2 linked regions of the Rattus norvegicus genome follow. The protein of the gene in region 1 interacts with the protein of each later gene in a biochemical or structural test. Links are inferred from orthologs where the notes say so. Each region holds a gene or a part of one and is shown in the gene's direction. Other genes may lie near its edges.

Region 1 (11,159 bases):
ACTAGAAATTTTTTTCCCCAACAGATCCTCCTGTTTCAGTAACTTTTCGTGAGCTTTCAGCCTTCTCTTCTCTGTCTTTTATGAAGGAACTTGGATGTTGACCACCATGAGTTCCAATCCAAGACGCAGAAACCTAAGATTGAGATTCAGGGATGTTAAGTGTAACCGGAATGATGATGACGATGAAGACTCATATGAGATTTATCAACCTCTTGAACCTACATCCATGACAACTCGGAAAATTCATGATTCTGTGGAAAATGACTTTGGCATAGAAAACGAAGATGATGATTACCAGTACGAACTGGCGTCAACACTAGGAATTAGGTCATTCAGAAAGTCATTGTTGAATCCGAAGGAAGACGAGTTCAATCTCACTGCTCTCGCTCTAGAAAACAGCTCTGAATTCATATCTCTAAGCACAGACGGAGTTGTTGACTCAAAATCCTCAAGAAACCTTAGTAAGATCACCAATAATAACCTCAACGACTCTCAAAGAACACTTTCTGGCTCAGGAGCCACCATAGCTGGTATCCTACTTGGAAACCTTACTGGCTTAGGTAAGAACTCCGTCCTCAACCCTTCAACAGAATATCATTCCAGCTCATATTATGAAAATGATATGGAAGACCCACAGTCGAACATCACAGTGGTATACCTACTTCCTCTTGGTGCAAAAGGATCAGGGAGTCGAGAACAGACTAAACCTAAAACAATCAAGACAGGAAGACCCCACAGGATGAAGCACAGGTTCTCCTGGATGAAAGCTCCAGCCGGAAAAACTGGGAGGCATTCAAATCCAAAGAATACTTCTTCCAGAATGAAGTCTGAGGAGGACATTCCTAGTGATTTGTTACTCTTAAAACAAAAGGTCGCATCCAAACTTTTGAACAGACAGTGGCATATGGCTTCTGAAAAGGGTAGTTATGAAATAATACCAGCAAATGGTGAAAACACAGATATTGATAAGCTGACAAACAGTCCTCAAAATCAGAATATCTCAACGCCTTGGGGAGCTAGCACCTCTCGCATAAACACGACAGGGAAGCCAAGTAACCTCCCAACATTTTCTAGATTTAGGCATAAATCTCCACATGTAAGACAGGAGGAGGAAAGCGGTGACTTTAAGAAAAGACAGTTGTTCATCAGGACACGGAAGAAGAAGAAGAACAGGAAGTTTGCACTACACAGTCCTCTGTCTCCAAGGGGCTTTTACCATCCGAGAAGAGAAGACCATCCTCCACTTTTAGATAGAAGACTACTCAATCATTCATTACTACTCCACAAATCCAATGAAACAGCTCTTTCCACAGATCTGAATCAGACCTCCCCTCCAGTGAGTACTGACAGGTCACTTCCTGACTATAATCAGAACCCTTCAAATGATACTGAGCAGATGAGCTCTTCTTTAGACCTTTTTCAGTCAGTGCCACCAGAGGAACACTCTCCAACATTTCCTACCCAAGATCCTAATCAAACACACTCTACCACAGATCCTAGCTACAGATCCTCTCCTCCAGAGCCCAGTCAAGGGATCGATTATGACCTAAGCCATGAATTTTATTCTGATGACATTAGTCAAACATCTTTCTTTCCAGACCAAAGTCAAAAGTCACCTCTCACTTCAGATGATGGCCAAGCAATCCCTTCCTCAGACTTAAATCTCTTTACCATCTCTCCAGAATTGGATCAAACAATTATTTACCCAGACCTGGATCAGTTGTTCCTTTCTCCAGATGACATCCAGAAGACCTCCTCCCAAGACCTGGGTCAGGTGACCCTTTCTCCAGATGAAAACCAAGAGACCTCCTCCCAAGACCTGGGTCAGGTGACCCTTTCTCCAAATGAAAACCAAGAGACCTCCTCCCAAGACCTGGGTCAGGTGACCCTTTCTCCAGATGACATCCAGGAGACCTCCTCCCAAGACCTGGGTCAGGTGACCCTTTCTCCAGATGAAAACCAAGAGACCTCCTCCCCAGACCTGGGTCAGGTGCCCCTTACCCCAGATGACAACCAGAAGACTTCCCCAGACCTAGGTCAGGTGCTCCTTTCTCTAGATGACAAGCAGAAGACTTACTTCCTAGACCCAGGTCAGGTACCCATCTCCTCAGACCAAAGCTGGGAGACCTCCTCCACTGACCTTAGCCTACTGACTCTCTCTCCGAAATTTGGTCAGACAGTCATTTCCCCAGACTTGGATAAGATGCCCCTCTCTTCAGACAACAGTCAAGTTACCCTTTCCCCAGACCTCAGCCTCTTGACCCTCTCACCAGATTTTAATGAGATAATACTATCCCCAGACATTGATCAGGTGACCCTCTCTCCAGACCTCATCCAGACAAGCCCTGCTCTTAATCACAGGCACAAAACATCCTCTGCAGACCCTGGTCAAGCATCCTACCCCCCAGATTCTGGTCAGTCTTCACCTCTTCCAGAACTGAATCAGACTCTTCCTCATCCAGACCTCATTCACATGCAGCCTCCTTTACTATCTCCCACACCTAATGACACTTCTTTGTCAAAGACATTTAACCCCCTTGTTGTAGTAGGTCTCAGTAGAGTTGATGGAGACGATGTTGAGATGATTCCAAGTGAGGAGCTAGAGAGCATTGACGAAGATTATCCTGAGGATGACTATGTAACCTACAATGACCCCTACAAAACAGACACCAGGGCAAATGTCAACTCCTCCAGAAACCCTGACACTATTGCAGCATGGTATCTCCGTAGCTTCGGTGGGAACAAAAAATTCTACTATATTGCTGCTGAAGAAATATCCTGGGATTATTCAAAATTTGCACCAAGGTTTGACTAGTTTTCTCTTTACACTCTCATTCTTTGTCACCACTGCTATGAAAATCACCTACATTTCTTTGGGGATAATTTTGAACAAATGATACTTCATATAATCTGAGTCTCCAGTGATAGTTCCTTTGTCATTTCCAATATTAGCTTCTACATTTTAGGTGACACCCAAGCAAAACAAGAGCCATTACTATGGAAGTCTGTGGTATCCCATCTGTCCATTTATATTTTGTTACCTGTATCTTGAGGATCCTATCATGAGAATCCTTGCTCAGACCAGTGTCTAAAAACTTAGGGATAATTATGCTTTAGCAAAATCAAAACTCAGAATGTCCACTCTTAAGGTAAAGGACACTTATCCATAGACTTTTTATACATACTGTAGAAATACTATACTATAGGACTATTATAGGAATTTGCTGTCTAGACTATAGTAATACTATGTAAGTTTAATAAATGAGATTTGACATAGCCCAAAAGATCCTAGGAAGTCTTACCTAAGAAAATATATTTGAGCAGGGAATTAGGATATATGTAATCACCTGTGTTTCAATTACATATATTTACTAGCTCATAGATGGAATGGTCATTAAATATTCTATGCTAGTTACCAGATTATTTCTTAAGTTCTTTTCAATTTTTTAATTTTTATTTTATATGTATTTTGGATACCGGCATGTATGTATGTGAGCCATGTGTGTGCCTGGCACCCTCAAATGCCAGAACATCCATTATATTATATTATATTATATTATATTATATTATATTATATTATATATTTATTTTATGTTATATATTAATATATATTAATAACTAGAACTGGAGTTACAAGTGGTTGTAAGCGTCCCAAAGTAGGTGCTGGGAACCAAACTTGGATACCCTTAACAATTGAACTATTTCTTCTTTTAAATGGATACTATTGCTGTCATTTTAGTGAAATGGACAATGAAGAAACAGACAACACTCCAAAGGACACCACATACAAGAAAGTTGTTTTCAGAAAATACCTTGATAGTACTTTCACAAGCCGTGATCCTCAGGGGGAATATGAGGAGCACCTTGGCATTCTTGGCCCTGTAATACGTGCTGAAGTGGATGATGTGATCCAAGTAAGTCTCATGTGAACCTCCTAGATCCTCAGGAAACTTACCACAAGCACCAAAACATTGCTAAGGTATCAGCAACCTGGGAAGTGATTGGCTTCCCAGAATTAACAAATAACAGCATTCTTTCCTCACAAAGACAGCCTGGCTATTTGACAATTTTTGAACTACAGAAAAGATCTTACCCTTCTTAACAGTGAAAATGATTTAATCTGGAAGAAATAGCACTGAGATTTCTAGCTGAAGCCAGCCTGTCTTGAACTAACCTGGAAAATGGCTGAAGTAGGGATGGCAATAGCATTGATTTATAAATATGTCCCAATACTTTCTTAAGAGACAAGATAAATGAAAAGGAAACTAGGAATCAGAGAAAAGATGTCTCTCCACCATAAATGAGTGAGCAAGTTTCTTAAGTATCTTACCAGATTTAGTCATTGATTGCTTTCAAAATCCTGTATCTAGTTCCCAGACAGTAGCTTATTTTTATTGTTGTAGGGTATCTGGGCAGCCAGAATTCAAATTGGGAGTCTTTATTAAGCAAGCTAGCGACTGCCTGGTGAGAAACACTTTCAGAGAGCAGCCCCGCAGAATGCATATTTTAGGGAGTTGTTAAAGACAAAGAGCATAGAAAAGCTACATCCTGATTGGCAGTTGCAGAAGGAAGCAAGCAAGCAGTTTAACAGAAGCCAAGCACATGCAGTTAGCTGGGTTTCTACAACAGTGTTGGATGCTTTCCCACATGACTTTTCAGGGTATGCCTTAGAAACCAAAGATGACTTCAGCTGAGACAAGATGGAGAAACCTTTACCCTGTTACATTGTAACAGAGTTTAGCTCCCCCGTACTTCCTCGCCTCTCACATATCAAACAAAACAAATTAATAATAATAACAATAAACAAACAAAACACACGAGAAAATGCTGTGGATCTAAAGTAAACCATTCTGTGTCCAAAGACATAACATTTTATTGGTGTGAATATTTGCCAAATTGTCAATGGCCATTTGCTCTTTTCCAAAGGGCACACAGAGGGTGGGGGAGATGACTCAGTAGGTAAAGAGTAACCACTCAGCATGTGATACGCAAGACCCTGTCCTTGAACTCCAACACATCAAGACCAATCAATCATAAAAGATAATGGGAATCTGTTTTAGTCAGCTTTCTGTTGCTGTGGTAAAACTCAAGATAACCCAAAGGAGGAAAAACTTTTATCCCATGATTTCATCCATGATTGCTTGACTCCTTTACTTTGGGTCCTCCACTGAGGCTGGACAAGATGGCTGCTTACCTCATGGTGGCTAGAACTTAAAGAGAAAGAAAGGGATGTGCCACTGCCCTGAGATTGCTTCAGGGCATGCTCCAGGTAGCCTGTCTTCTTTCTTTCTTTCTTTCTTTCTTTCTTTCTTTCTTTCTTTCTTTCTTTCCTTCTTTCTTTCTTTCTTTCTTTCTTTTTTTTATTCCTTTCTTTCTTTCTTTCTTCCTTTCTTTCTTTCTTTGACCCAATTGATAAGATATAATTGCCCACCTTAACATACAAAGCCCAGTACACATCCATCCTTTAAGAACATTAATAACAACCTGTAAATACATAGAGTGGAATCTTTACGTCAGCTTCCATTTTTCTCTCTGCCGTGATTAACCTCTCTGTCCCTCCTGTCTCCTCTTTCTGTTCCAGTCTCCTCCTCTTCCTTCAAACTTTTCTCCTGCCTATCCTTCCTTCTCATCCAATGACAGGCCTCCTTCTAACCTGTACCTGCCCTCACCTGTATTTTACAAATTAAATGGGGAGAAGGGGTGAAGTCACCTGAGACCTGAGTACGTGACTAGGCAGCCGTCCTTGAGCAATGGAATCAGCATCAAGATATAGATAACTCCAGGGCAAATCACAACACCTCCCCCTTTTTATCCAGTTAAAAGGCCTTTTCACTTATATGAAAATTGAGTACAATTATTACCATTCTACAATTTATAAAACACACTCAACACCCAGCCCATCAATTTTATCCATTAACTAAAGCACCTTGTCACCTATCCTAAAAGACTATAATTCTATACCTGACTTATATCTTGGTTTGAGATCGTATGCCATCTGAAAAACCACCCTTTCAAATGTATTATCCTTCTCAATGCTAAACAGCTTGGGTTGTCTACAAGACTACCAGTTTTCAACCACATCAGAAATCTTTGAATGACCAAATATCTATACACATAGAAAGTCTAACACAGCTTGCAGAACTGAGAGGTTGTAGAGACAAATCTCCACTAGCACAGTCCTCTGTTAGCAACATGTGAGTGCAAGTCTTTGTCCTTCTGGCCCCAAATCAACTGACAGACTCTTGAAATGCTGAGTTTTGAAGGGTTGATCACCTTGTCTTGGCAGAGCTTATCAGTCAACTATTCTGCATAATGTGTCCTTTTCTGGACAGCATTAGTCTGCAGATGAAATAGGCAGTTTTGTTCAATGGCTTCCTAGCCACAAAGTATTGCCTCACCTGGAGATAGAGATGTGCAAATTCTTCATTAAATCTGCCAAAGGGGAACTGTTAGGAGCAGCTACGTCTCAACAAAAGATAAATAACTTTAAGTCTCAAATTTTGTGGATTTCTGACATTTTTGAAAACCATCTATATAAGACAATCTGGACTGTTGTCTTTATATCTTAATATTATCTTGAAAGTACTCTCACAAAGTCAGAGCCATGAATTTGCTATTTGGCCCTTAACTCACATGTGTAATCAACTCAGAAGTTTGTAATGACATCACAGAAGGACTGGCTCTAAACCTTGTACTTTTAAACTTTTTTGATGAATAAATTCTATACCAAAGCAAAGATGTGATTTTAGCTTAGTTACCAAATGAGATTATGACTGTACAATTCAATCTTGCTAATTCCTCTCTGTTAAAGTACAACCAATTTTAAATTCCTAATAAAGACAACTTTAGAATAACTGCTTTCAGCCCCCCCCAAAAGTCCAGGGAATTGGAGTGATGACTCCTCCATAACTTCTTCAAGCTGTACATGGGCGTTGAGATATCCTTAAGGGTATGGGTTAGGGAAAATGAAGCAAATGCTGTAGCCGCTGTGTCCTGACTGGATCCAGCTGAAAGTCCTTGAGACCAGGAATCCAAGTAGGCACACTCTGCAAATTGTAAATACACAGAGTGGAATCTTTACATCAGCTTCCATTTTCTCTCTGTCGTGGCTGATCTCCCCTGTCTTCTTTTATTAAGCACATGGCCTCACATGCTAAAGGTTTTACCTCCCAAAAGTGTCACAGGCTGGTAACTAAGCCATTGTCAACACATGGTTTGGGGGGGGGGGACAAAACAGTAATAGGACTCTTAATAGTTCTATACATCCCCTGAAAACATACGGAGCTTTCTGTCAAGTGATTGGTCACTAGAAATTACAGAGGAAAATGACCAGAAGATTCCCCCATGAGCCTGATGACTCTATGCCTAGTCTCAGCTGTCATTTTCTAACCTCATTTGTCACCAGGGGCTTAGTCTATCTGTGCATTTCCCAACCTAGCCACAGACAGGCTTTCCCTGCAGACATCTTTCTGCTCTTCTGGGAATCTAAAATGACCATGTTCTGATTTGTTCGTTTTACAAGGGCCAATCCCATTTTTCTTAAGAACCTTTCCATCGTTCTTCCAAATTCTCCTAAACATTCAGCTGTGTTTCCAAGGCAGCACCCTCCCAAACCCATTTACACTCTATGCACAGCATCTGTTATATCCAGATTCGTGCTTTGGGTTCACTCACGTCTCTCTCTTCACTAGTAATACAAAAGCTTATTACGATCAAGAGCCATGCTTTATTCAGGTTCAAATCTCACTTGTGGATACGTTAGGTTTTGTTGCTGTGACAAAATATACAGGGGAAACGATTTTAAACGGTAAGATTTCTTTTGGCTTAGGGGATTGAGTGCTTTCAGTTTATAGTTACCTGCCCACCATCTCTGTGGGACTGGGTTAAGGCACAGAGTATCATGGTAGGAGGCATGTGGCGAAATGTAGCTGTGGAGTCCTGGAAGCAGACAAGAAAAAGAAGGGACCAGGCAGATGATAGATATGTCAAGAGTGTGCCCCAACGAGCCTCTTCCTACCTAGGTTCAACCTCCTGGTTTTCACCACCTTCCAATAATATAATCAAATTATGAATCTGCCATCCTATTTATCTGTTGGCCAGAGCCCTCATGGTATAATCACTATCCTGAAGTCCCAAACAAGCTCTCAACACATGAGTCTGGAACAGACAGTTCAAGTCATTAGAGAAGTAACTTAGGATTGAACTGTAGCTTGAGCCTAAGAGCACATTTTTGTGTTTTGAAGGTAAGTTGGTCAGGGCCTAACTCATGTGATCATTGGTAAAATAGATCAAATAATATGCATTAATTAGGTTGCAATTATAGGCACCCAGTATACCCTAGCTCTGATATCGTAACTGCCTGTCACAGCCTGTATCGTTGTGGTTTTAGTTTGGTGTTGCTTGCTATGTTAATACATTTGTAGGTCACTCTTCTCTCTCTCTCTCTCTCTCTCTCTAGGTTCGATTTAAAAATTTAGCATCCAGACCATATTCTCTTCATGCCCATGGACTTTCCTATGAAAAGTCCTCAGAGGGAAAGAATTACGAAGATGACTCTCCTAAATGGTTTCAGGAAGATGATGCTGTCCAGCCCAATAGCAGTTACACATATGTATGGCATGCCACTGAGCGCGCGGGACCAGAGAACCCCGGTTCTGCCTGCCGGGCTTGGGTCTACTATTCTGCAGTGGATGTGGTAGGTTTCAGTTCTGACCTCTCCCTCATCATATAGCCCCAGTTCACCTTTTCTTGTTAAAAGTCTCTCCTGTGAGGTGTGCGGTGGGGACACATGCCTTTAATCTCAGCACTCAGGAGGCAGAGGCAGGTGGATGTGAGTTTGAAGACAGCCTGGTCTACAGAGTGATTTTCAGGACAGCCAGGGCTACACAGGGAAACCCTGTCTTGAAACCTAACACCTCCCATGACCAAAAAAAGAGCCTCTCCTGCTCGTTATGGGGCACAAGAAAGGGCTACCATCCACAGTGTGCCTACCATGGCCTCAGATTCTCCCGACAGTTCATCAGAAATGGCACAGAGAAAAGCGTTCATCCGCGGATGTTATGGGGATTGCATAAATGAGGTGTGTACACAGAGAAACGTGCTCTTTAACAATTTGAAAGTAGTTTAGTCTTAAGTCAGGCTTTTGGAGACTGCAGGGAGTCAGGAGACAAGGAAAGTATTGAGCCAACCGTGTGGGCACAGATCACAGGCTGGCTTTGGGAGTTTAAGGAGCAATGTTTTTCCCTGCTCCAATTAAGCCAGGAGGAGATTCAATTTGTTACTTAATGAATACCCTTTGCTAATAAAGAATTTTTTTTTGTATTTTGATAATAAGTCAACCCCATTCTGAGTTAAATAAGGACACAGGGAGTAGACTGCTGTGTTCCCAGAAAAATAATCCAGGCACATTCCACCCGGAACAGCTCCCACAGGAAGGTAGGAGTCACTGGCTTCTCTAGATGAACTGTGCTGACCGTGGTAAGCTGTGCCAAGCCCCTGTCCTCTTGGCTGGCCTTGGGCACCTAGGAGAGCCAGAGGGATGCCAGCATCCATGCAGTGCCTTCTGCACGCTCAGCTGCCTTCTTTCTCCTTGACCGTGAGACAGAGAGACAGACCTTTGCACAGTAAGAAACCCAGACAAGAGGTGGCTGAGGACTCTTCCCAGGTTCACAGCCAAACAAAACACAGAGCCCTCTACCTGGCAAAGGGCAGCCGCGGTTCCAGTTTGCCCTCAAACACAGATTTCTTTGCTAAGACAAGGTATCTGGGGTTCCCTTTTGTCCCTGGACCAGTGGTTTGGGCTGATTTCTACCAGGGTCGGGGAAGTCAAAGATGTATACTTTGTGGAAGCAAGTGAAGGGGTCAAGGACATCACAGGCCTAGTGTTGACCCCACCTCTTATGAAAGTTCCCAAGGAGCCTCCTGAACTTAGTGCCACAAGAAAAACTATGCTGGTCTCTGACCATGTGGGACCTCCCTGAACACCATGCTCCCGGGGAAAGGCACCCATCATGAAACCCAGGGCAGCCAGGTGGGTGTGTTGTAATGACTCATCTGTACCACAACACAGCAAGGCTCAGTTAGTCTCAGGCAAGGCTGAGGGGAACAAGGCCTGGCCACCTGACTCCTGCACCACTCTGTCATGGAGGAAGCAATTTCCCACTTATTGTACCACACACATACCCAGCCCTCTGGGCACAGCCGGATGGTTTGACGTTCTTTTTGAGCTTTTAGAAGGTGTTCACTGGAAATTTAAGGGTCTTCACTTATCATTCCGTAATATATACAGTGTTCAAAACCACATGCTACATGTAGTAAATGCACATGTGCTTTTTAGCATATTTAGTGAGAGAGAGAGAAACAGAGGGGGGAGGGACAGAGAGAAGGGGGAGGGAGAAAGAGGGAGGGAAGGGGGAGAGAGAGGGGGGTAGAGAGAGGGGGTAGGGAGGGGGGAAGAGAAGGGGGAGGGAGAGAGACGGGGGAAGGGAGGGGGAGGGAGGGTGGGGAGAGAGAGAGAGAGAGACAGAGAGACAGAGAGAGACAGAGAGAGAGAGAGAAGCACATAGACTCAGTTTCTTATTGATTTGTTGATGATGTTTGGTGATTTTTTTCAATGCTGAGCACCAAACCCAGGGTCTCCTCTAAACTCATCAAATATTCATCACCGCAGCCCCAAACGTCTGTGGGAGTGTTCTTCTAGGCTTAGGTGTAAAATACCCATTCTCATCCCTACAGGGACACTAGGAAAGCAATTTACCCTTTCATAACTGCAGGTTCTTTTTTTTTTTTTTCTCTATTCTTTTTTTTTTTTTCCGGAGCTGGGAACCGAACCCAGGGCCTTGCGCTTGCTAGGCAAGTGCTCTACCACTGAGTCAAATCCCCAACCCCAACTGCAGGTTCTAAAATTGTGCGTGGTGGCCAAGATCTGCGATTCCAGATACTCAGGAGGCTGTGCAATTGGCTCAGGGTGTGAGCAAGGATGGCCTGAGCAGTTTAGTGAGATCCAATCTTGAAAATTAAAAAGAGGCTGGGAATGGAAATCAGTTCAGTTCCTGGTTCCAAAATATAGAGGGAGAGAAAGATGGAGGGAGAGGGAGCGGGGGGGGGGGGGCGGGGGGAGGAGAGAAATTAGTCAATTCATGTCCAATGAACGTATTTAC
Region 2 (11,159 bases), on another chromosome or scaffold:
AATGAATATTTATTGCCTTCTTTGAAAAACAGTGATGATAGAGATGTATACATCCGATTGCCTGCACTCCACTTTGGTAGATAATTAGCCAAGACATTTAAAAGATTAAAAGATTAAAACAAAACTATCACAGAGCAAATGTCCCCAACCTAATTTGAAAACTAACTGTGGACTCCATGGTATTCCCCTAAGACTATCTACCTTTCTCTGTATATAGAACATATTTTTTGTTTCCATTGCTGTAGAATTAGTGATGATGGGGTGCAGTTACTTCTGTACCCCTATTTTTTTTCTCAGAAAGAATACAGGAAATCTATTAAACTTCCTTATAAATCTGTGCTGTAAGGTCTGACCACTCTGAGGTCTGAACACTGGTGAATTTGCATGAAATGAAGAGTTGTTAAAGAGGAAATGGCAAGTGTGGAGTACTCCTTACCACAGTGCAGAGTCTTTCTCTTGGAAGAATGGAAATGTGGGGACACCACTTGCATTTAGCAAATAAAACAACCATCTTTTGATTTGCTTAGGTAATGTATGTCATTGAGAGAAAGCATTAAAGTTTTTAGCACTTCAGAAACTACCTGTGAATATTAACCAGATTATAACAATTATTGTTGTCCCAATTGTAACTGAAACAAATATTTTCTGTCTCATTTTATCATTTTTGAATAGATAATGTAACTAATGCAGAGGGTTGGCAAATAAATGTGACCTTGAATATTCGCCCGTCCACTGGCACTGGAGTCATGCTTGCTTTAGTTTCTGGGGACACAGTGCCCTTTGCCTTGTCCTTGGTGGATTCTGGCTCTGGAACTTCTCAGGTAACCTTATTTCCAACCTAGATGAATCTCTTTTATTTCCTGACTTGTTGACTGATTTGCAAGGAATAGACAATATTGGGGTACTGAGAAACCTTAACTTCTGGATCTTTGGTTTGGTAGATTCATACACAAGCTGCTTGGAGGTATGACAAAGTGCCTAGAACTCTACCGAGACAGAATCTGTGAAGGAGTATGGAAATTCATCTGCATATAGAATAAGGACATGATAACAGTCCACTCTCGACTGTGTAGTATACCATTGTTTGTTCTCTTTTGCACTTGTTTATCTTTTACCCTTTGAGTGATTCAGAAGAAAAGAAGAGAGAATTGAAACTGTCCCACTTGATTTCTTTTTTGCTAACTCCAGTTTAAAATTAGGGAGAAAAGGAGAGTCTTTGATACAAAGAAAAACAAACTTTCTTAGGAGATCTATGCTATTCCAATTTCTAGTAGTGCTAATAGCTTTCTGTTTATGTACTGCACGTATGCATTGCAAAAAGCTTACATTTATGCAAAGATTGGATTTCTTGTTTGAACTGTAATCAACAAAAACAGAGGGTTCACTTTGCAAATTAGAGTATAATTCGAAGTGAGTTTCTGTTAAGTAACCTCTACGCTAAGCCCCACCATCAGTTTTTCTATGTATCCCTGGCTAAACTGATCTATGTAGATCAGGCTGGCCATAGACTCACAGAAATCCACTTGCTTTCTGCCTCCCAATTGCAGAGTGCAGTGATTAAAGGAATTAACCAAATACCCGACTTGGCTTTCTCTTTTAATGACTTAAGGATATGAGTATTTGTAAAGTTAAAGATTCCCTTAAGTAATCTGCAGTCAAGAAGTATAGTCTTTTCCCTCTCACCATAAATATCTTAACCTAAGAGGCCATTTTAGACTACATTTACTGTATGGGAAGCATCATAGTATTCTCTATTTTGGTTTAATTTCCTCTTCACCATCTTAAGTTAGCAACAGAGGTCACTCCCAACAAGTCGAATATTTTGAAAGTTCCAGCAAAATAAAACACTTCTCTTTTTTGAGACTTCAGCTTCCTACTGTAAGTGAGGCTCATAATGCAGGTCTCTTTCTCAGGCCTCTTTCATCACATTGTCCTTGGTCTGTGTGATAACTTGGATGACCCTTCAATGTGTACTAAAGAACTCCAATTTCCTCAACACAAAGTTCACTCTACCTTTTTCATATGTAACTTTTGAAATTAGGGAGACTTGGAGACCTAAGTATGACTTAGGCACATCATGTTACTTTCTTCTGTTTGGCCACCCAACTCAGATGATGGAATTGAATCTTCAGAATTCAGCATATATTATGTCTTATACACAGAGCTTGTAAAACAAATTGATGCTTGAAAATTAATTATTAAAATTTAAGCAACTTTACATTTAAATGTAGAGTCTCTATCATTTTTTTCTTTTGTTGAAATTTAGGTTGGAGTTTCCAAAACACAAAGTCATCCCTAAGTGGCTTTGCCTTCAGTGTTGTTTATATGAAGTCTTTGCTCTTCTGTTTAGGACATTCTGGTATTTGTTGAAAATTCAGTAGCAGCTCACTTAGAAGCCATAACTCTGTGCTCGGAACAGCCATCCCAGCTGAAATGTAACATTAACAGAAATGGACTGGAACTGTGGACCCCAGTTAGAAAAGACGTCATTTACTCTAAAGATCTCCAAAGGCAACTCGCCATCTTGGACAAAACAATGAAAGGAACCGTGGCCACTTACCTGGGTGGCGTTCCAGGTATTTTTCTTCAGTTCTACAAGCATGTTTTGAATGAAATATCTTGTTCATAGTTCTGGCTGTCCTGGAACTCACTATGTAGATGAGACTGGCCTTTTGAACTCAGAGATCCACCTACCTCTGCTTCATGAGTGCTGGGATTAAAGACATATACTACTATGCCTGGTCAAATCAATAATATCTTAAACCTGGAATTTTAGTAACAAGGCATTGAAAAATGAAGACAAACTTGAAATATCCCTTACACTTTATGTCATTTAATCCCAGTCTCATGATAATGTTGTAAGGTAAACACTTATTGAGTTTATTCATCACTAGTATGTTTGTTTACTCTACATTTAATTCATCCATTAAGAGCATAAACCCAAATAAGCAAAAAGTTATAGTTGCTGCAACTGGGGCTTTTAAAGTTTAGTTGAGGAGGTAGACATGCAGCAACTCAGTAAAGAGGTTTCAAAATAATTAAAATTATAATGAATTCTATGAAAGCAAGTAATTACAAATCAAGTTTAGAGCATAAAAATAAGGACTTGACTTGGTGTTGAGGACAGGGCCAGGAACAATCTCTCTGAATAAAAGATCATCTATCAATTTATCTATCTCTCTGGCATTTAAAGACTTAAGTAAACTTAACTAGGTGGTAGAGATGGGTGGATACTGCAGTGTATATAGGTAGAATGGTCAGTGTGTGTGCATAGATGAATATGAGAGGATGACTAAGGCAATCTGAGACAGGAGGTAGTGCAGGATGAGTCTATAAAATGGCTAAATGGGTGACTTACAGACTTGAGTTAGGGTTTTGTTGTGGAAGACGTGAGTGTCATTACAGTGTTTAAAACAAGTTAGGGCATATAAATATTATAATTTCAAATTTTAATTCTGGATGAATAATTCCAAGTGGGGAAAGCCTAAGTATGTATAATTCAATTGAGTTCAGGGGCTATAGGATAGCCTGAGGACATAGTGATAATATTGTCAACATCACAGTACCTCTACCAGTGCATGGTAGTCTTCATACCATACAGGGTCCTTGTCTTAGTTTCTGTTTCGTTGCTGGGAAGAGACACCATGACCAAGGCAACTCTTATAAATGACAACATTTAATTGGGTCTGGTACAGGAAACATGGCAGTGTGTAGGCAGATATGGAGCTGGAGAAGTTGCTGAGAGTTCAACATCTTGAACAGAAGGTAGCCAGGAGGGGAGTATTCCACAGCCATCTAGGAGGAAGGGTCTTTTCTGCCACGAGCAGAGCTTAAGCATAGGACTTCAATGCCCAACCCCACAATGACACACTTTCTCCAGAAAGGCCATACTTATTCTAACAAAGACACACCTTCTAATAGTGTCACTCCCTACAGGCCAAACATTCAAAACATGAGTCTATAGGGGCCAAACCTATCCAATATTTCAATTATTTTATTGTTCATAATAGTGATATGGAAGGTTCACCTGGCAAAAAGGAAGCTTTGGACTAGGGTGGTAGTAGCATTCTTCATTGAATCAAGTGAATCCAATAGAGATCTAGAAGTAAAATCAGTATAATTTCATAACCAGAATACAGGTAAGCAAAGGATAACTCTGACATTAATAGTTTTGTGATAGGATTACATTTTCAAAGTGGGGAAAATTGGAGGAAACTCAGGTTCATGTTTAACTTAATATTGGACCTCTGACATTAGCATCAACATGTTACTTTAAATGTCAAATAAAAAAAAAAGGGCACAAAGATATTTAGGATCATTTTTTTTCTTTCAGTCCTGCTCATAGATTACTCTTTTTTGGAGAATTCTGAGTTGGGAATCTTAACAACCTTGATTTTTTACACTCTAAATGCTCAAGGTTAATGCCACATATGTGGACCTCCTTTCTAGTATTTTGGGGCATGGAAGGAAAGGGGTTTCAAACGTTACAGGTAGAAAAGGGATATAGAGTCCAAGTTACCAGTCTGGTTAGTTATTAGGAAGCATGACAGCAGTGAAATTGGGTGAACTGAGGCTGTATTGAGAGTTACTCACAAATTAGCTGAATGCATTTTTAGGAAATCAAATAAACAATGAATTTATTGAAAAGATATAAAAATACAAAATTTTTAATAACACAGTAGTTGAATTTAAAGAAAGATTGAGGCAAACTTGAGAGGAAACTAAAATTGAAATATTTTAGAATATAAACTATCAAACAAATATGTTATTTCTTCTTCTTTTTCAAAACTTGGTTTTTCTTTCTTTTTTTAATTTTTTCTCCATCTTTATTAAATTGGGTATTTCTTATTTACATTTCAATTGTTATTCCCTCTCCCAGTTTCCAGGCCAACATCCCCCTAGCCCCCCCCTCCCCTTTTATTTGGGTGTTCCCCTCCCCATCCTCCCCCCATTACTGCCTTCCCCCCAACAATCATGTTCACTGGGGGTTCAGTCTTGGCAGGACCAAGGGCTTCCCATTCCACTGGTGCCCTAATTAGGCTATTCATTGCTACCTATGCAGTTGGAGTCCAGGGTCAGTCCATGTATAGTCTTTGGGTAGTGGCTTAGTCCCTGGGAGCTCTGGTTGGCTGGCATCCTTGTTCTTATGGGGTTGCAAACCCCTTCAGTTCCTTCAATCCTTTCTCTAACTCCTCCATTGGGGACACCATTTTCAGTTCAATGGTTGGCTATGAGCATCCGTCTCTATATTTGTCAGGCTCTGGCAGAACCTCTCTGGAGACAGTTATATCAGGCTCCTGTCAGCATGCACTTCTTAGCCTCAGCAATATTGTCTGGACTTGGTGGTTGTATGTATATGGGCTGGATCCCCAGGTAGGGCAGTCTCTGGATGGCCTTTCCTTCAGTCTCTGCTCCAAACTTCATCTCCATATTTCCTCCTATGAATAATTTTGTTCCCCCTTCTAAGAAGGACTGAAGCATCCTCACTTTGGTGGTCTTTCTTGAGCTTCATGTGGTCTGTGGATTGTATCTTGGGTAATTCAAACTTTAGGGGTTAATATTCACTTATCAGTGAGTACATGCCATGTGTGCCTTTTTGTGATTGGGTTACCTCACTCAGGATGATATTTTCTAGTTCAATCCATTTGCCTATGAATTTCATAAAGCCATTGTTTTTGATAGCTGAGTAGTACTCCACTGTGTAAATATACCACATTTTCTGTATCCATTCCTTTGTTGAGGGACATCTGAATTCTTTCCAGCTTCTGGGTATTATAAATAAGGCTGCTATGAACATAGTGGAGCATGTGTCTTTGTTACCTGTTGGAGCATCTTTTGGGTATATACCCAGGAGTGGTATAGCTGGTTTCTCAAGTAGTACTATGTCCACTTTTCTGAGGAATCTGCAGACTGATTTCCCGAGTGGTTTGACCAGCTTGCAATCCCACCAACAATGGAGGAGTTTTCCTCTTTCTCCACATCCTCGCCAGCATCTATTGTCACCTGAGTTTTTGATCTTAGCCATTCTGACTTGTGTGAAGTGGAATCTCAGGGTTGTTTTGATTTGCATTTCCCTTATGACTAAAGATGTTGAACATTTCTTTAGGTGCTTCTCAGCCATTCGGCCAAACTTGGTTTTTTAAAACAGGGTTTCTCTGTGTAGTCCTGGCTGTACCGGAACTCATCCTGTAGACCAGGCTGGCTTTGATCTCAGAGATCTACCTGCATTCACCTTCTGAGTTCTGGGATTAAAGCTGTGCACCACCACTGCTTGAATAAATTACTTATATACAAATTAGTCATGTTTAAATTGCTTTTGATAAATGATAATTAAAAGAAAATTGATTTAAAGATTTTTTTAAAAACTAACTTTTGTTTATAATATGTAGTTATTATATATACTCTTGGGGGCCATGTCATAATGAGTGATAACACTGTGGTTAAAATAATGTATATATAATGTCAGGGACATCAGCCAGGATTGAAGAGGATTCCTAAAATATGCATTTAGCTCCTAGATACAGATTTTGTCACTGTCTTTAGAAATTTTAAGGTATATATTTTTGGCATAATATGCTTTGAGAAAGAAGCACAAGAGATGTTCACTGTAAATTCAAATCCATAAGGAGGAAATGCCAAAAGAGTGGAAGGTGTCTTGGACTGTAGTTCTAAGGAGACAAAGAAGCTAAATCGACAACTAGGACAAACCCTGGTAATGGGATTCCAATGCAGCGAAGCCCAAAGGCATCAATGACCTCAAATGACTCACTTAGGAGCAATCCAAAACTTTGTTCTGCGGGACAATAGTATCACATAAAAGTCAGTCCCTTATTATGACTTGCTTTTATGCTCAGCCAGCAACTATTTCTTGATAAATATGAAAAACCAGTTTTTATTTCAGAAATTATACAAGGGTATGTTTGCCATGGCATTCTAAAAGGATTTCTAAGCCCCCACAATTTCGAGTCGAAGAGGTGGTCAAATCACTCAGAGATGTTGCTCGCATTTAAAAAGAAGCCAACATATATTATTTTATAGTAAATGTGGAATATCATAAGCATATACTCTCTCCTCCTCTTCAAGTGTGAACATTTCCCTTTAGTTTGGTTGGCAATGATAGCAGTTATGAAATCAGAAGGACTCATACGCTGACCTCCATGCCCAACATAACATTGCTGAATAGATTCACATTAGTAATTTTTCCTGTAGGAATTTGTTTGGAATTTATGAAGTCTGAATAATTCTTTTAACTGTAAACAAATGAGATGCAGAAGTATCGGGTTAATCGTCAGACACTGTTTCCACAGATATTTCCTTCAGTGCCACACCAGTGAATGCTTTTTACAGCGGCTGCATGGAAGTGAACATCAACGGGGTACAGTTGGATCTGGATGAAGCCATTTCCAAACATAATGACATTAGAGCTCACTCCTGTCCGTCAGTGAGGAAAATCCAGAAGAACTTCTAAAGTCTGTTTCCTGGGCTTCTAATCTCTCTTTTCATATTGTAATTATGCTCTTGTTCATGTTTCCATCACCAAATGGCAGGATTACATGTGTTATATGCATGTTTAAATATGATGTGGTACTTTGTCCTTCAGATTTTTGTTATATAAGTCGCATTTTTGAAAAGTCTTGTACTCACTGCTGTCTAGAAATTAAATAACAAAACACATGAAACATTTAAATTTCAATTTATTTCCTATAAATGACACGGCTTTAGTTTTTTTTTTTTTTTATTTTAAAGGTAAGATTCATCGTCATGGAACTAGTATTTAAATGTTCTGTTTTTCTCAGAAGACGAATCAGTTAAACCGAAACAAAAGCTCATGGGACTAAATGCTAACAGTTGGAGAGCGACACTGTATTTTTGTTGTTGCTTTTTGCCCACGACAGCGACAGAGCTGATAGCATACTGCATGAGAATTGGAAGGAAGGTCTCAAAGCTTTATTCTAAAGTAATTCCGAGGTGTGGGGAGCGCCTAGTTTAGGCTTCATTTTTCTTTCACTTGACTTTACACTTGAGCCAACACCTTCACCGAATTAGAGACCAGGGGCACATTTTCACTGGAGCAACACCTGAATGTTGTCTCAAAGGCATTGGTTTCTCTCCAAGACATCAGGTTATGCTGTAAGGGGGGTGTGAACATTGGGCGCGCACATCACTCAACCTAGGCTGTTTAGAGCACATAAGGTCAGAGTCAGAAAGGCAGCTGTTCTTAATGGTGGGAAGGAGAGTGAATACATCAGTAAATTCATAGTTGTCCTTCACATTGGATTTTAACAACTATAGGTGGTTTGAATGGGATTGTTGAAGTTAAAAATGTGACCAAAAGTAGATTTTTTAACAAAGCGATAATGACAAGACAGATGTTCGATAATGTTACATGTTCCAGCTTTGTAATGAAAGAAACACGAAGGTAAGATTGTCAAATATTTGCTGATAGTGCATTGCAAGTGTCAGGCTGCTTTGTCGCTCCTGAGTTGATGATCATTTCAGGTGTGTATCAGGTACGTCATTGCTATCTGAGAAATTGAATTTTATTTTACTGTAGATATTTTGCATCACATGAAACATAATAAAAGGATACATATTTTTAAAATACATGAGCAGTTTCTTCATTTTAACTACTCATAGCCTAGAATTAGATAACAGATGTCTAAGTCTTCACACAGCATAGTAGAACTCCAGCTGAAAGACTGGAAATTGGAAATCCTTGGTGAATGGTTATGTTGGTTGTAGAGTGGGGCTCAGAAAGGGAAGGAGAGCAAGAGTAAAAACACCCTGAGTACCATTAACGTGCTGCACATTGTGTGGGTTGTGGTGGGGTGCAACTTTTCTCCTGCTACATAGGATGAAGAATAGTAGGTGACTACTGATTAGGCTGGTATAAAAGAGAAGGATGGGACCAAGATGATGTCTGAGGGGATTAAGTTGGTGTTGTACAATCAAGAGAACAAATTGCATTAGGGTCCTTGGTAGTCACAAAATGCCAGGTGTAGTTCCCTGTATTTCAACACACAGAATTGGTGGAGTGAAACAGAAACAGGTAGATTACAGGGGCTGAGTGGCTGCCAATCCAGCAGAAAATACCTCAAGGTCTGGTAAGAAATAGTATCTCAAAAATTAAGAAGGCAAGCAAAAAAAGAAAGGTACCCTGTGTCTCCACATTTGCATGACCCCCACGCACTACACACACACACACACACACACACACACACACACACACACACTCAACACTGAGGAATAAAACAGTGAATATGATCAAAATACATTTTGTACATGCATGAAATGAGATAGCAAAACACAAAATTATACATAATTAGTTAAAATCTGTTAATAAAACAAAGGCACAAATAAATCACATTTTGGAGATTCTGTACTTCTCATTTAATAATGCTATACATGTAGGCAGTGCTGGAGATCAATTCCAGATTTTGTATCAGAAGGAAAAACTTTCCTATGTACAGTGAGGAATATAGGATAATATATATATATATATATATATATATATATATATATATATAATATATATATACATATACATATTTGCGATACATACACACGAATCTAGGAAATAACACTCATCTGGGCTTGATGAACAACTCTCAGATTCGCAGTCGTTGGAGTTTCAGTTGTTTTTTTTCCAGGTTGTCTTAGGAAATGAAAGCAGTGTAGCTTCTGTCAGGGCTCTCATATCAGTCCTTCCCTCCTCAAGGAGACTGCTTTGATGGTCAGTCACACAGGTTACCTGATATAGCAATGTTCAAATTTCCAGAGACCTTATCTTTGAAAAATTGGATTGGCTATGAAAGTATCAGTGTCTACCTATTTTGTGCTTGTGTTTTCAGAGTACAATGGTAAGGTGAACTTGTCTGTGTCAGAGTCCTGTGAGGCTTTGATACATATTAATATGACCAAGATAGTGTGATAATATTGAACTATGAAAATTGCATCATTATCTCGCTCATGTACATTGAATGTTGAACTAGAGATTGTCTTGAAAAACAGGAGAGAAAAATATCTTACTTCTACTATGGTGTATTTACTCCAGAGGAGCTGACTCATGCACAAGAGATTCTAAGAGAGTCTGAGTTTGGTAAGGTCAGTAACAGAGAAATCAACCTTTGCAGAGGATTACTAAGGAGGGAGAAATGAATTCCCAATGAAAGTTTAGTGAGCTGTGGACTGAATGAAGACACATGTGGATTTCTATTAAATTTCCCTACAGTCCAGTCCTGTCTTTCCAACTGTCTTCTCTGATGCTCCTGTTCGTAAAGTACATGTGACATCTCCCTTAAAAATGGATTGTGTAGACTGACTGAGAAACAATGCCAAAGATACGAATCTAGAGAGGATGACTAAGGTAAGAAAGAGTCTGGGAGAGGTTGGTCCAGCCTGGCCATACTGATAGTATGGATGTCAAGAGGCCGTTAACCATTCCCATTCCCAGTCTTTTCTCCTTTGAAGCATGTTTAACATTCCTAGTTTCATTAGTGTTTATCTGTGAACAGAGCACAAAGCTCTCTGTGCCAACTACACAAAGTAAAAAGCAAAGAAAAAAGGATGGGAAGAAAGAAAGAAAGAAAGAAAGAAAGAAAGAGAGAGAGAGAAAACCCAACAGAAATAGACAATGGAGAAAGAGAAGGAAAGAGTAGAGAAGGGTAATAATACCTCGATAATTTATCCACAGTGAGGATGTTGATCTGTGGAGATGGTGCATTAATGGCTTAGAGGTGGAGCTAATGGCCAAGTAGCTGCTAGAGATCACAGACCATAATTTATTTTCCACCCAGGGTTTCCCTGTAAGAGAAGATAGGAAGCCATTCCTATCTAAATGTCATTGTGTGAAGACTTGGATGAACGCTGCTAAATAACTTCTCCCTCGGGCTGAAATTCCTAAGCTATGTAATAATAGAAGTCAACTGAGCCACTTGTCTCAAATCTTTTGTTCCTCTCAAGTTCAGTACTCTCGTCCAGCTCTTGTCTAACACAAACACAGATCCTGAGCACTTTCTAGATGCAAAAAGCTAGGGGGGCAATAAAAAAAAAACTCCTGTATTCATGGATTTGTGGGGAGCACACAATTTGTCAAACATTGTCCTTCTTTGGACACCTGCACTGTGAGATGGAGCAAATCACAGATATAAAGATAGCTA

What was found.
Region 2: the proteins of F5 (region 1) and Pros1 form a complex in vitro, tested with the Homo sapiens proteins (2 studies listed by BioGRID). The link is inferred for Rattus norvegicus from reciprocal best matches to the Homo sapiens genes F5 and PROS1.

The regions. Positions count from the first base shown.
Region 1 is NC_086031.1:79,085,273-79,096,431, forward strand, and holds part of F5 (coagulation factor V precursor), read left to right. Parts: intron 1-86; coding exon 87-2,805; intron 2,806-3,739; coding exon 3,740-3,914; intron 3,915-8,458; coding exon 8,459-8,695; intron 8,696-11,159. UniProt on the Homo sapiens protein: Central regulator of hemostasis. It serves as a critical cofactor for the prothrombinase activity of factor Xa that results in the activation of prothrombin to thrombin.
Region 2 is NC_086029.1:13,749,255-13,760,413, forward strand, and holds the end of Pros1 (vitamin K-dependent protein S precursor), read left to right. Parts: intron 1-346; exon of another isoform or gene 347-527; intron 528-672; coding exon 673-821; intron 822-2,350; coding exon 2,351-2,576; intron 2,577-7,307; coding exon 7,308-7,468; 3' UTR 7,469-8,604; downstream 8,605-11,159. UniProt on the Homo sapiens protein: Anticoagulant plasma protein; it is a cofactor to activated protein C in the degradation of coagulation factors Va and VIIIa. It helps to prevent coagulation and stimulating fibrinolysis.